Linked DNA regions of Arabidopsis thaliana. The protein of the gene in region 1 interacts with the protein of each later gene in a biochemical or structural test. Each region holds a gene or a part of one and is shown on either strand. Other genes may lie near its edges.

Region 1 (7,936 bases):
ATAGGAGGAAATATACCTCAATGGGATCCTGTGTATCGGTTTCTGGGATCGTCAATGGAAAAGAGAAGGAAGATGAGGTTGGATTCGTCGATACACATCCTGGGTTCGTGGAAGGGCAAGGCCTAATTTTGCTACAAAAAAAAGAGAGTAATAAAGATTAGCTTTGTTTAGAGAGCAGAAATCAGAGTGAGAAGAGGAACAAACCCATTGAGAAGACCGGTCTGGACGAACTTGGATTGGGTGAAAGGAGTGGTGAGTGGCTGAGAAGAGGAGAGAGAAGGAATGGCTAAGGCAGGGGAAAAGGAAGTTAGAGAGATAGCAAGAGCAAAAGAGATTAGTTTTGGTAAAAGAGAGATTGGAGGAGAAGTAGAAGAGAGTTCTTGTTCTTGTTTTGGGCTTTGCAATGAGCACAACAACTTGGTGCTTCTCGGCCGTGGCGGGAGGATGAGTTGCAAACTGGCGACCAAACTCATGTTTGTAGTTTATGGTTACTCTCTTCTCCTCCAAATATTATTAATATATAAGTGTCTCAAAACGCTTTACTGAAATGAAAATTAATTAAAATTGTTTTTTTTTTTTATTGTATGTTTGAACTTTTAAATTTTAGTTGACTACAAATTCCATAATGTCCCGATATAAAATGTGAGATGTGTTCTTGTTTGACCACAATAAAAACACTATGAGATTGGTAGAAAATTATCAAGAAATAGAGTTTCACCCAATACCAATAGCGTTTCACCTAGTTTTCATCATCCTATTACAAAAATTCGATGGTAAATTACAAGCGGCAAAGTTCAATGTAACTAATGATACACCGATACACGTAACATGTTCATTGAATGTTTCATTAAACCAACAAAAAACTATTGACTCATGCCACTAGAAAAATTACCACCGAATTAAATTAAAGAGAGCGAGAGGCAAATGAAACGATAGAAAATAAGACGTTCAATGGTCTTGAGAGAATTAAATATGTTTCTTTATATTCACCAGTGTTTGAACATTTGCAGAATTGTGCAGAGAAAGGACTAAAGGAGAATGAACAACATTTTATTGGACAAGGAAACTCTATTTTCACGATTTCGCAGGTATGTCTTTTTATAATATTACTTATTTCATAATATTTTGATATAGATGATTACTCAAACAAAAGAGGTGAAAACTCTTGTAAATTTTCAGTATTTAACCTGCAAAACAGATACTACTTTTTTACTTGATTTATCAAACCAAAGTTAAGACTTACAAAAGCACCGGTGACAATCCGACATTGTTGCCATGCAAAGACTCAAACCAATTTGACCGTCGACGCTTTTTTAGTATTTCAAAAATATTTTTATCAATTCATGAATTATGATTATTGCCAAACATCGATTCAGTGGAGACTAGGTTTATGAATTATGACCGTAGAACATATGAAAACTGTGTAAAACTATTGTATAATTTATGTATTAAATTTTGTATTAATCAACTGATATGCGGTCGGACCGGATCCAACCGGCGATCGAAACATACCATTTATATTTTTTCTTTTTCTATTTTACTAGAAATAAAATAAATAGAAACCTCCGTTGCTTTTTTGGCAAACACTGTGAGAGAGTTGACCAAAATCGACCCAGTGGGAGGACTAGGTTTATCGAAAGCTCCAGTTTTCATAGATAAATCCAGTAAAATTATACACGCAAATTCTAGTTTCTTAGAGCAAAGCTTTGTTGAATTGATAGCTTGAATTTGGGAATGGACGGAGAAGAGCTTACCGAGCAGGAGACTGCCTTGTACGACCGCCAGATTAGGGTTTGGGGCGCTAATGCTCAGAGAAGGTTACTTTCTCATCCCCTTGTTCTTTTCAACACTCAATCTTGTTTTCACTTTTCTAAATTTAAGTGCTTTTAAGCTGCATCATCTCAATTATGATTTGAGTCGGCTTTGAGTACTAAACTCTTACTATTTGGCCATTTTAGGAGAATGCTTAATGGTCCCTTCTTAAATGCGGATTTAGATCATTAAAATTGTATTTTTTTTTGCTTCTCCTCCATTCGATTACTTTCTCTTGGCTTCAGTTTTGGTTTTTATTTGTTTGTCTTTGTCTTAAGAGAATTTTAGTTAATACCTATTATTGGTTTAGCGTTTGGATTCTGCTTCTAGACTAGTGCATTCCTAATTATGAGCTCCCTTAGGTTGTTCTGAGATGAGAGTTTTGTTTTTTAACTATTAAGATTGATGTATTCATTCATATTTTGCTTTTTGCTGAAGCTTATTTTATTGATACACTACACTACCATGTAATTACTCTGTAAGCTTGGCACGATTTGATATAGTGTGAGGTTGGTGTTTTGCCTTGCAGATTGACCAAAGCTCATATCTTGGTATCTGGAATTAAGGGGACTGTTGCTGAGGTAGCTGTAACTCTATAATTCATGCTGAGATGTCATGCTTTTCAATTAGTTTAATCTAATGGTATCTTACTGCATTTCCTGGCTTTGTTTCCATTTGGTGGGTTAGTTTTGCAAGAACATTGTGCTGGCAGGAGTTGGTTCAGTGACTTTAATGGATGATCGTTTAGCAAACATGGAGGCCTTGAACGCTAACTTTTTGATTCCGCCTGATGAAAATGTTTACAGTGGCAAAACTGTGGCTGAGATTTGTAGTGATTCACTCAAGGATTTCAACCCTATGGTCCGTGTTTCCGTAGAGAAAGGTTTCCCTCTAATACCTCTCCGTTAATGTTTTAAAAACATACCGACTATTATCTGATCAATTTTTCAAATCTTTCAGGTGATTTGTCAATGCTTGGCACTGATTTTTTTGAGCAGTTTGATGTCGTAGTTATAGGCTATGGTTCTCGTGCTACCAAAGTATTTATACCACCTTTTACATATTTACCACTTGCTTTCATCTTTAGTTGCTCCATACATCTCTTCATGACGTTGTCTGTTTATTTTTTGCAGAAATATGTCAATGAAAAATGTCGGAAGTTAAAGAAACGTGTCGCATTCTATACAGTCGATTGTAGAGACTCATGTGGTGAAATCTTTGTGGACCTCCAAGATTACAAGTACACAAAGGTACTTGCATGATTTGTTGTTGCATTTCTTCTGTTGATTATGTGCTGTTTTGACATTTCATCTGGCTTATTTTTAAATTTCTATAATTCCATTGAACATTTAAACTTCATTAACAACTTCTAATTTGCACAATGTCCTTTGTATTGTTTTCCTGATAATTTTCTTTCCACAGAAAAAGCTTGAAGAGATGGTGGAATGCGAACTAAATTTTCCAAGTTTTCAGGTACAATTTAACACTAGTTCTCGCTACTAATAATCCTTACATCTGCATAGGATTTTGTGATAAATTAGATTTGTTTATTGCCACAGGAAGCTATATCGGTACCATGGAAACCGATTCCTCGGAGAACAGCAAAGCTCTACTTTGCTATGAGAGGTAGTTACTAGTTACTACAGCTGATTTCTTTATTACTTTCCACAAATGAAAATTGAGATCCCAAGGCAGATACATACAACAAAAATTCTTCACTAATCTTTGGCATTCTCATGAAATTTTCAGTAATAGAAGTGTTTGAAGAGAGTGAAGGGCGTAAACATGGAGAATGTTCGCTACTCGATCTTGCCAGAGTCTTGGAAATCAAAAAGCAACTCTGTGAGGCAAACGTAAGTGTGTTTAGTTGTTTTATCATTATTTAGAAATGTCACTGCCAGGTTCACTGAATAACTGAATATTGTCTCTCAGTCTGTGAGCGAGAGCCATATACCAGATATTCTCTTGGAGAGACTTATCACTGGTACTACTGAATTCCCGCCAGTTTGTGCCATTGTGGGAGGAATATTAGCACAGGTTCTCTCTCTCTCACTTTCACTCTCTTATCGCATTCGAATCTTCTCACTAGAAACTTGTAATTTGACAAGAAAGATTTTTTGATGTGGCAGGAGGTGATCAAAGCAGTATCAGGCAAAGGAGACCCGTTGAAAAACTTCTTCTACTATGATGGTGAAGATGGGAAAGGTGTGATGGAAGACATTTCCGACTCTTTTACCTCTTAAACAACCAGTGGGCCTTGATTTAGTTTAAACTCTATAATCTCTGAGATTCCATGTATATCTCAATCGTTTGTTTTTTGCCTTCACATTATGAACAAATTTAATGCAGAATTTAGTGGAGGATCAGTTGTGATTTTCCTTCGGTAAAATCATTTTCAGTTATTGACATTTGAATTGTTCAATTTCAAATTTCAAATATTATAATTCAATTCAAAGACTAGCTAAGTTTTTAAAAGTAATTAGTGAGAGATCTCACAGTGATATAAACCACATTCATTTTAATTCATAGCAAAGTAAATGGTAAGAAATGAAAATGGAAGAAAGAGAGGAGAGTAGTTCACACGAACATCTGAAGGAGAAGTTGAGAGAGCTTGAGGAGGAATGGACAGCCATGAAAACAGGTAAAAACTCATCTGCGGTTTCATGGATTACCGTGGAAGATGCTCTTGAGTATGTCGAAAACTCTCCCAGAAACCTAATGCTCTCTCTCCAACACAAACCAAAGGCAGAGATGATACAAGAAATATCGCCATTAAGGAGAAAACTCTTTCACGACTCTGATGATGATGATCAAACTAAGAAGACGACATTGCTTTCTCATTCATCTTGTTGGTCTTCGAATGTGACGAGTTCGAGTGATACCACGAAAGCAAAGAAGAAGACAACGATTAGAAGATTTGTTTCTGTTACAATGGTGCTGCTTTTGTCATGGGTTTTAGTTGTGTTGATGAACCACTTTGATCATCTCTCCATGAATACACAAATCATTACTTTGGTTCCTACTTGATATTTTTATTTATTTTGGTTTGAGAATGTTCATCAATCTCAATAAATAAAAAAAGTTTAGTTTTGTATTATTACCTCTCGCCTTCTCTTTTAATTCATTGAACCTCTTCAACTTTGGCTGTAACTATGTTGGTTAAAACAGTATAAGTAATGTATGTATTTATGGTTTTAGGAAAATCTTACAAAATAATACTCTATCATTGGATGAAGAAGCAAAAACTACACCCCTCTACATCTTTTCTATTCATAAACTTTTTTGGGGAAAGAACTACATTGGTGGTGATTAGGTGCATCGGTGACACTAATGTTGAAAATATGTTTTGTGTAAAATTAGTATGGTTAAAGCTAATCATTTAGTTGAGCAAAAAAAGATGCTAATCATTTAAATAGAAAATGGACTCAAACAAAAGAAGGCCACACATTCAATTGTTACATCTTTATTGGGTTTTCATTTTTGGAAGCTATTTTTATGAATTTGCAGTGTTTTGTTGCCCAAAAGAAAAAAAGCATAATTCCAAGTATATCTTTCATTTTGAATCCATCAGTCATATGTTTTACTTGAATCAACTATTTGTTGGGTTTTACGAAGTTACTTGTTAAGAAGATTCAAAATATATATAATTAGACTATCAAAGGAACAAAAGAATGTAATTGGGTCATAACTTTTTCCGAAGCTTACGTGACTTGGGAGAAAATCAAACCCATTAGTTTCACCCTTAATCAAACTAATCACAAATTTTGAACTTTGCAAAGAAGGTAAAATAATAATCAGCAAAAAGATTAATAAAATGACAAAAGTATCTCTTTAAAAGATTAATAAAGAAATAAAGAAATGACATAAGCTCTCACCGACCGACGTCTTGTCTTTTTTATTCTTAAGGTCGGTGCCATGTCGACGCCTTCAAGCTTAGAATCTCGCCACGTGTGGGATAAACTAACCGAACCCAATCGAACCAGACAGACCAAAGACAGACCAGACCGGACTAGTTGTATGTCGGCATCAGCGTTCTAGTACGACGTTAATTAAAAAAATAAAAATAAAATATTATTTATGATATTCCACCAATAAGAGCCAATGAAAAGTGTGTGAACCAACCAACTTCTGTAGCAAACCGTACCATTTCTCTCTTAGATACCTTTACCTTCCTTCTATAAATTAGGTTCTTCCTTTCACATTTCTTTGTCTTCTTCTTCTACATAAAATTGATTCGCCTCGAAATTTACACAGACTTGTCGCTCTCTCTTTCTCTCTTATTTCACAGAGCCCCTAAACATTTCCAAAAATCTTGCAAAGGAAGAAAAACAATGGACAAATTTTGGACTTTCCTCACTGCTCTTCATTCAGGCGCTGGGTAATTATTCTTAATCTTAATTTTCCTTCCATTATGTTTCCAAAATTAGTTACTTTTTGATTTCCTCTGTTTCGATTTCTAATCCAAACCGTAATCGATTTGTTGGTAATGTATATGCAGGCCTATCGTGATGTTACTTTATCCATTGTAAGTTTCTCTCTTGTTAAACCCTTTAACAAAAGAAAAAGTTTCTTTCTGGTTCGATCTCTCTACTTTTTGTTGAAGATTAAAAACAAAAATCTGTGAATATTTACTAATTATGTTTTTGATTACAGGTACGCATCGGTGATAGCAATGGAGAGCACAACAAAAGTGGACGATGAACAGTGGCTTGCGTATTGGATAATATATTCGTTCCTCTCACTCACGGAACTGATTCTGCAATCGCTTATTGAGTGGATTCCGATTTGGTATACGGTGAAACTTGTGTTCGTGGCTTGGCTAGTTCTTCCTCAGTTTCAAGGCGCAGCTTTTATCTACAACCGTGTTGTTAGAGAACAGTTCAAGAAACACGGCGTCCTCCGCTCCACCCACTCCAAGCCCACCAAGCCCAACATCCTCCACTCCATTTTCCCCCACCGGGTAAATTTTTTATCTTTTTGGTTTTGAGATTCATAAAGCAAAAAAAAAAAGTAAAAGTAACCATTAGTTTTAGTATTCTTTGGTGGGTCAAAGAACGAATCTTTGTTTATAAAGATTAATAATGCATTGAATATAGTCCTAGGAAACGTAAGAGTGTGCCTAATTCTCTAACGTAGCGACCATGAGCGTATAACAAGTGTTTTGTATACTTTTGTTAATTCTTTAATTCGTTTTTAAATTAATTGTGAATTTTAAAATGTGATATAGGAGGGACACGAGGCTCACAGTCACTGAATCAGAAGGGTGGAGCAGACAGAAGAAGCCTGACTAGTATTATTGTAATGGTCTTGGTGGTGGTCCCATCATGTCCCTGTCTAATCTACTTTTTACTTTATTTTTATTTATCACAAAAAATGGGTTTAGGAATGTTGATGATGATGACTGATGAGGTGTGTAATCGTTTTTAAATTAGAAAATGGCTTCTTCTGCTTGTATGATTGTATCGCTAATCTTCCACGCGTATTTCTTTAATGTCAACGCTAATAATTTCCAATTGTGTCCCTTCTTGAACTTATCATACATATTTTGATGACGCAAATATCTCACCGAATCAAACCCATAACAGTATATCCCTTTTTTTGGGGCCTAAAACCAAAATTGAAGTGAGGCTTACAGAGTTAGAACGCAATTTAAACCAGTGACTAATGTTTTGATTGGTTCTCCCTCTGCCACCTGCAAACGCTGCGTTTGCGGGTGGTAGCGGTTGTTAGCGTTTGACACTAATCATAGAAACCGCTAGATACCGTTTTGGACCGCTTGAAATCGCCAGATTTCAAAAGCTTCTTCCCGTAAGCGTTTGCGGTTGCGGGCGGTAGCGGTTAGGTTAATTTTTTTTTTTAATTAATTAAAATAATTATATCTTCCATCCAAACCCTATATATTTTATTCTTATCAGAAAACCCTAATCAATATATTGAAACCCTATTTTCTCAATTATGGCATCTACCCAAACTAACGAAAATCAAAATCAAAATCAAAAATCAAACGTAAGTATGATCTATCCTTTCATCCATTCATTAGCTAGTGTAATTCTCTGAGTATTTCATGGCATCGTCATTTTTTTTATTTTGTATTTTTTTGAGTTTTTTTATTGAATATATGTTT
Region 2 (7,319 bases), on another chromosome or scaffold:
ATTTGTTTCGCACACGTGTGAGAGAGCCTTCTACCGCACGTGCCAGTGCCTTCGGATTTGTTTCCTCATTATAATCCCGCTCAGGAGGCGACCTTGAAATATTGCCCAGATCGTCACTCTCCCCAAGAAAGCTCTCTTCTCTCTCTCACTCTCTCTCTCTCATTGTCTCTCTACACAGTTTTGGAGTTTATCAATAGCTTTATTGAAGATTCAAAGGTAAACACAAATCCATGGTGTTTCTTCTTCTATTTGATTGCGTTTATAGACGTTAGGGTGGGGTTTACCGGTGTTCTTGTGACTCGATTTGAAATTGGAATCGGGTGATTTGTGATTTCATTTTGGGATTGTTTGTGATAACCTTTGGTTGTGTTCTCCGTTTCTTGATATATTATTCTGGAAATTTTGGGGTTGATTTTTAAGGAGAAATGAACGATTTGATTTCTGGGTAAAACCCTAGGGTTTCTTCATTCAGTTTTGATGTTTCAGTCTCTAATTGAATCTATGTTGTTGTTTGTTTCAGCGACGTTATCAAAATGCCAGAAGCAAGAGATCGAACCGAGAGGCCTGTGGATTACTCGACTATATTTGCCAACCGACGGAGACATGGTATTTTACTTGACGAGCCAGATTCACGGCTTAGTTTGATTGAATCTCCGGTGAATCCAGATATTGGGTCTATTGGTGGAACGGGCGGGCTTGTGAGAGGCAATTTCACTACATGGAGGCCTGGTAATGGCAGAGGTGGTCACACTCCATTTAGATTGCCACAGGGAAGAGAGAATATGCCCATAGTGACCGCTAGGCGTGGAAGAGGTGGTGGTTTGTTGCCTTCTTGGTATCCAAGAACACCTCTACGCGACATAACTCATATTGTGCGGGTAAATTGACAAGCTCTTTTGTGTTTTCCTGTTGATTCTTCTTTGTATAATCAGTTTTGGTCTGGCATGGGTTTTGCTTTGCAGCTTGGTTAAATGTTTGGGATCTCTCTTGTTTGTGGTGTAGCACATGGAAAATGGTTTCTCTGAGTCTAAGTTTCCCCATTGGTTTTTGTAATCCTTCTTTTGAGCTGAATTAGGAATCTGCTACTGATAGGTTTGGTTTGTTAAAGCGTTTCTGTTTATTATTGATCATAGCAGGCTTGCTTAGCCTATCTGTATAAGTTTTATCACATAGATTTGTTGCCTTAAGGCTTGCTTAGCCTGGCGATTTATTCTGTTGACACTCTTGAACTACAGGCTATTGAGAGAAGAAGAGGAGCTGGGACTGGAGGAGACGATGGCCGAGTTATTGAGATCCCAACTCATCGACAAGTTGGTGTTCTTGAATCTCCAGTACCACTGTCAGGAGAACACAAATGCTCGATGGTCACTCCTGGACCATCTGTGGGATTCAAGCGTAGTTGCCCACCATCAACTGCTAAAGTTCAAAAGATGTTACTTGACATCACTAAAGAGATAGCTGAGGAAGAAGCTGGCTTCATCACACCCGAGAAGAAGCTACTCAATTCTATTGACAAAGTTGAGAAAATTGTGATGGCGGAGATCCAGAAGTTGAAGAGCACTCCTCAAGCTAAAAGGGAAGAGCGGGAGAAGAGGGTGCGGACTTTAATGACTATGCGATGATCTTTACTTAGGAGAAGAGACCAGATGCGATGATCCTTACTTAGGAGAAGAGACCATAGAGGTATATCTGCTTAAAGGTTCCTGCACAGTGAGTACATCATCTTCTTATGATATCATAGATGGATCTACAGGTCATCCTCTAATGACATATCTTCACAAGTTCGGTGGTTTCTTAGACTTGTATCATTTTCTGATGATTTTATTAGAAGCGTCAATCATCTTTTGACGATTTTATAGGATACTCGTTTTGGAAAATCATTGTTCTGATGATAGAATAGATCAGGAATCATCTGCTGATGATGATATCATAGGAAAGATTATAATAGTTCACACATTTCATATCTGAAGTGTCATCACTTGTAGACGATTTTGGCTTGTTGTTGACTTTCAATAATTGAGTTGTATATAAGTATTGAATGTTTGGTTTTATTGCTTTGTAACTGTTGACATACGGTGTTTGCCTATCTCTTTCTGCACACTTGATTTCGTAGCTAAATTCCAAGTTCTGTTAAATATTCCAAGCTTTCTATCTCAATCATTGACAAAAAATGTTCCAAGTAGCAAACAATTTACTAACAAGCACTAATACTACTTCAAAAGTCTAAAATCAGTGGAGTATAAATTTTAGAGGAGTAAGATTTTGACTTTCAAGTGTTAAGCGTAGTTTCAAGTTAGAAATATATGTATTTCTAGATTCACAACTAAGATTCGTTACTCTATGGAATGAAGACTTCATATTTCACTTAGTAGAATTTGGACAACACTCATGAACGACCAGAGAACATAATTATGTATTATATAGAAGCAACACCAACTGAATCAGTACCAAGAATATTAACAGTTAAATAGAGAAAGAAGAGTTTTTTTTCGAAAATAAATAGATTCCAGTGTCTTAAGGTGCCAAAATGAGGAGTTTTCAATCACCCAATGACATCTAAACATAATGACACAAGACGAGAAAATATTCAGAGCTTGTCATCAGTTTTGGTGCGTTCTCTTTTTTGAGGTTTTAGACAAGAGCAGGATACTGCTTGGACTGCAGCTTCACCCTTTTCTTGTACTCAACTGGATCCTGCACAATAATCATCAACAATCACTCGACTTAGTTCCTTCCTATGTTTCAAAACCTAATATTGTGTTTAGAGTTTTCATTTCTAAATGTACCTGACAGAAGAGATGATAACCATCTGTCTGTGCAGGGTCAGCGGGATTCGGTGTGTCAAGTAAATCCTGAATACCAACAAGAATCTGCTTCACGGTGATGGCTGGTCTCCATCCCTATGGATATACACATAACAAAAGAGAGCTTGAGGATAAAGCTGGCTTTTGCTCATGGAGAAATGCAAAGAAAGAAACAGTAGAGTACTTACATAATCCTCGTTAAGGATAGAGAGACAGACAGTTCCAGATGGATAGACATTAGGGTGGAAAAACCCTTGTGGAAATTTACATTTCGGAGGTTTGCTCGGATAATCCTCACTGAAGTGCATCGTTAATGGAAAGAATCCACCTTCCCAATCAGTCTGCAGCAGAGAAACATGTAAAATTAGCTATAAACAACAGTAAAGATTGATATTAGCAATTGCTCTTGCAGTAACACTCTTATTAGCCATGTCAAAGTAAGATACACAGCAGAGTTCAGTTTCAATGTCGTATTCAAGACCAAAATCATATGCACCAATAAAAAAACATCATACAAGATAAACAAGGAGATAGATACACAGCTACTCTTCCCACTAACATTCATATTAGATAATCTTCCACGGCTCTATGTGTAAGCAAATATGAGAGAATCATCAAACAGAATCACAAAGAAAAAGAAGGGAAGAGACTGGTGAAGCTTAAAACTTTGAAGAACTAAGAATCAGAAGATGATAAAAACAAAGACTTTAGCCCAAATCAATAAACCCTAATTTCAATCTCTTTTTTGTTGCTACTAATACAAACCAGAAGAAAACAAGCAGAGGAATAAGAAAACTGAAGAAACCTAATTTCACGATTGATACTTACCCCAGCTTTACCAGGTATAGTGCAATGCCACACCATTAGATTCACAGTTCCATCCTGCCCCGTCTCCGGCTTTGCCACAAAACCCTAAATTTCACCATCAACAAGAAGAAACCCAATCAGTAATCAGAGACCATGAACAATCAACAGAAACCCAAAACCCATAAATCAAAATCACGAATTTGGAGAAATAGAAGACACGAAATCACTTACATGAGGATGATTCTTCCTCCACGATTTCCTCTCTTCAGCTAAACGACCACGAGCGATTCCACTAGCCATATCTCTCTCTCTCTCTCTCTTTAGAATCTCACTCTACAATATCTAAATCTCTCTCTTCTGATTTGTCTCGCTCGCTCTCCAATCTCTATCTCTCTATATATAAACTCGAAGAAGACACAAATAGGAGATTGGGGGAAGATGGAATGTGAAGTTACAGATGTACCCCTATGTTAAAGCTTTAGAAGGGTAATCGGAGTATCGTACGGTCCAGATTTCGCGGCGAATAAATGTCCTTTCGTCCTACTTCCTCCACTTTAATGGTTATTGACCGGTCAATTATTAAATTTTAACCAGGTATAATTATTATCTACTATATCATAAAATAAATGAAAAGACGTAATGAAAAAGTCAATGGATAAATGTGGCGTGAAACCTACGCGATGATACCCAAAAAAGCTACCAAAAGATTCTTTCTCTGCCATAACGTATCATCCCATTTGTCACGTGGCCCATTACCATATCTGGGCCCATTTACTTTGTGTTCTTAACTCTTAAGCTTGCTTTAATTATTCCCCTCTTCTTCTTAATGGTTGGTCTTTCTAGAATAAAAGTATCTCACCTGGCAAACATTTGTCAAACAGAATGGTCGGAAAAAAAATAAAATATCAAAGCTTTCAATGAATTTTTGTGTAAGAATGTTATTTAGCGAACATATATTCCCAATATGATAGTTTTTTTGGTTATAACCAACTTTGGATGTATTAGAAAAATGGTTTTTTCTTGAAACTTGTATTTGACCATTAGACCAAACTGTGACAACCTCTAATCTCAACAGCAACCAACCCAATGGCACCAAACTCCTAAAGCTCCAGTGATAAAACACAAAAACCAGAGAGGCATAGATTATGACTTACTAACCAGTGACAAGAACATCAAAACCACACAAGATACTTCTTTACTACTTTCAAACAAAAGTCTTAATAATGTTAAAAGACAGACGGATACATCATCACCATCACCAAGAAAAGAGTCATCATGACATTTTTAACAATGAACAAACTAAAAAGAGTCATCATGATATTTTTAACAAGAACAAACTACAAGTCTTATAGAAGTTTTCTTCGGTATTGGAAGCAGTTTTTGCAGGTCAGAGCATGCAATCAGTTCTTGCAGGAAGCCTTCTGAAGAAATTGAGAGGAACGGATGGTAGTTTGTATCTGAACCTCGGATGTCTCAGAGCATAGATTCCAATACAAAGAGCCACAACCTGGAAAGGTGTCACATAGAGAATGACTGCGGCAATCAAGCAGAACAAGACGAAGAGCGCTGTTGCACGCGGATCACGCCAGCTTAGCAGAGACTGAAGCCTTTCTCCTTGAGTTGCTAGATCACCTACCACTGTCTGAATCCTACCAGCAATACTCCTCAACCTGTCATACCTCATCCTGACTATGTCAGATGGTCGGGAAGTAGGAAAAGTGTCGAACTCTTCATCTAGCTCGTCGGGGTGGGCTGAGTCAGCGTGAGAGAGACGTGTGTCCATGTGAGGAGGATGCCTCGGTCTCCAACGGTAGTACCAGATACCGATGAGGAAGAGGTAGAGGAAGATGGTGGGCAAGATTAGTTCGGGATAGAGCACAAGGATGATGAACAAGAGATGGATCAAGACTGTTGTGATTGGATTCTTCCAGTTGCAGATTTGTTCAAACCATTTTCCTACTGCGATTAACCCACTCAAAACTCCCATAATCCTGAAAAAGTTTGCTTTGCTTCTCCGCATACTCCACATGTGAGAACCCACATCAAGCATATACTCAACTACTTCTTTCCTTAGAGGTGGTTCTGCTCGGGTCAGCCTCATCGATACAATCTGAGTCGCTTGATGCCTCAAGTTATCAAGCTGGCTAACCGTCAGTGGATGGATATAATGCATCTTCGGTAAGAGAGGCTGTGAGTACATATACATCATGTTGAGCAATGAAGAGCAAGTGAATCTCACAGCTAAGTGAATTTCTCCCATTTTCTTGACTCCGTTAGGATGGAGCACCAAAAGAGGGTATGAATGTGTATAAACTCGATCAGTCTCGAGAGTAGAAAGCCTGATTCTTACCTTCCCGATTCTTGAATCTTTTGCTCCTCCAATCTTCTCACCTCCATGGAGATGGCAGTTATCAAAAACTCCAACAGTAACAACGGTGCACGGATCAAAAACCTCCCAAGTATATTGCTCATTCCATCTTGGTGTAAAGCTGTCAATGATTGTCCGAGTTCGAATCCATTTCTGTCCGTACTTCGCCACACAATATGCATCTGTGGTTCCCCGGCCGTCTTTGGTTTTCATAGGCATCAGACCTGTAGCATTCAGTATCCCCAACTCCAGTACACCGATATTAGGCTTCCATAGTTGCTTCGCTGTTGGTCTAAGATCACTGCTGTAATGCGTAGACTCATCGAGAACGTGATACCCTCCTTCCAAACATATTCTCATGTGAATCCTGCTAGCGAATTTGGTCTCCTTCTTCTCTCCATCGACCATAATATGCTTCTCGAGATTGTACCACCTGCTGTTCACCGGTTTATGGTCAAATCTTCTGTCCAAATACTGCAACGGGATCGCACATCTCCCCAAGACTTCATCTTTGTTTGGAGCAACTCTATCTTCCACGCTGAGGATCAAAGGTTCCTCAAATGGCTCTGCTGCGACAAACATCAAATCCTCATTCCACATGGGATTAATAGTCCTGCTCTGCGATACTCTAGTCCTCAACGCCTGGTTTCCCACTATAGCCTTCACATAAACCTCGGGATATCTTTGCTTATCAGTTGGTATCAAATCTTGAGCTTCAATTACATTAACCCTGAGGTACCAAAGCTTAGGAGAAAGATAAACCTTGGAACGGATGTTGGCAAGAGCATCAGTACCACTAACAGTTGCAGCATCAGAGTGCCAAGCTTCAGGGAAAGCTTCATCAGCTTGAGTACCAAACCAAACAGCCAACATAAGCTCTCCCTTGACTTTATCACCTTTCCTATCCTCGAGCCTATACCATTGCGGAGCCAAGGGACTATCAGGAGGAACTCTCTTAGGTACCTCATTCAAATCAAAGACAACCCGACCAATCAAATCATCTTTGACAAAATCCTTGTCCTTGACAGTAGCTTCAAGGAAAGAAGCTTGAATCCTATCTTTAGAAAAGGCGAAAACTTGGTTCCACTCAGGATTAGATTTCTTCTCGAAATGCCTAGTGGTGCCTTTGTAGTTTCCAAGCTTAACCTCAACATAAGGGTCACAACTACCAGTCATATCCTTGCCAGGTAACTCCTTTGCCTTAACCACACGAACATAGAGATACTGCATTTGCTCAACAAGGTCATAAGTACTGGTAAGCTTATCTCCAGAGAGTTTTCCTCCACCTAGATGAGGTCTCGTCTCCTTCAAGGAGAAATCTTCAGGAGGTGGTCTCTGCA

What was found. Proteins that work in one complex are often made in the same cells at the same time.
Region 2: the proteins of SAE1A (region 1) and SCE1 form a complex in vitro, tested with the Arabidopsis thaliana proteins (one study listed by BioGRID).

What each region holds. Positions count from the first base shown.
Region 1 is NC_003075.7:12,821,917-12,829,852, forward strand, and holds SAE1A (SUMO-activating enzyme 1A), read left to right. Parts: upstream 1-1,579; 5' UTR 1,580-1,734; coding exon 1,735-1,817; intron 1,818-2,341; coding exon 2,342-2,393; intron 2,394-2,499; coding exon 2,500-2,695; intron 2,696-2,772; coding exon 2,773-2,852; intron 2,853-2,945; coding exon 2,946-3,062; intron 3,063-3,234; coding exon 3,235-3,285; intron 3,286-3,371; coding exon 3,372-3,438; intron 3,439-3,561; coding exon 3,562-3,665; intron 3,666-3,744; coding exon 3,745-3,849; intron 3,850-3,941; coding exon 3,942-4,055; 3' UTR 4,056-4,293; downstream 4,294-7,936. Other genes in the region: AT4G24930 (thylakoid lumenal 17.9 kDa protein, chloroplast), read right to left, coding at 17-131, 205-473; AT4G24950 (uncharacterized protein), read left to right, coding at 4,366-4,839; HVA22D (HVA22 homologue D), read left to right, coding at 6,321-6,337, 6,466-6,772, 6,925-6,944, 7,040-7,103. UniProt on the Arabidopsis thaliana protein: The dimeric enzyme acts as an E1 ligase for SUMO1 and SUMO2. It mediates ATP-dependent activation of SUMO proteins and formation of a thioester with a conserved cysteine residue on SAE2. Functionally redundant with its paralog SAE1B.
Region 2 is NC_003074.8:21,426,200-21,433,518, forward strand, and holds SCE1 (sumo conjugation enzyme 1), read right to left. Parts: upstream 4,200-7,319; 5' UTR 3,912-4,199; coding exon 3,843-3,911; intron 3,717-3,842; coding exon 3,633-3,716; intron 3,146-3,632; coding exon 2,993-3,145; intron 2,901-2,992; coding exon 2,787-2,900; intron 2,695-2,786; coding exon 2,632-2,694; 3' UTR 2,297-2,631; downstream 1-2,296. Other genes in the region: UVI4-LIKE (UV-B-insensitive 4-like protein), read left to right, coding at 534-878, 1,236-1,622; AT3G57880 (Calcium-dependent lipid-binding (CaLB domain) plant phosphoribosyltransferase family protein), read right to left, coding at 4,999-7,319. UniProt on the Arabidopsis thaliana protein: SUMO-conjugating enzyme that accepts the SUMO proteins from the E1 SUMO-activating heterodimer SAE1/SAE2 and catalyzes its covalent attachment to other proteins with the E3 SUMO ligases SIZ1 and MMS21.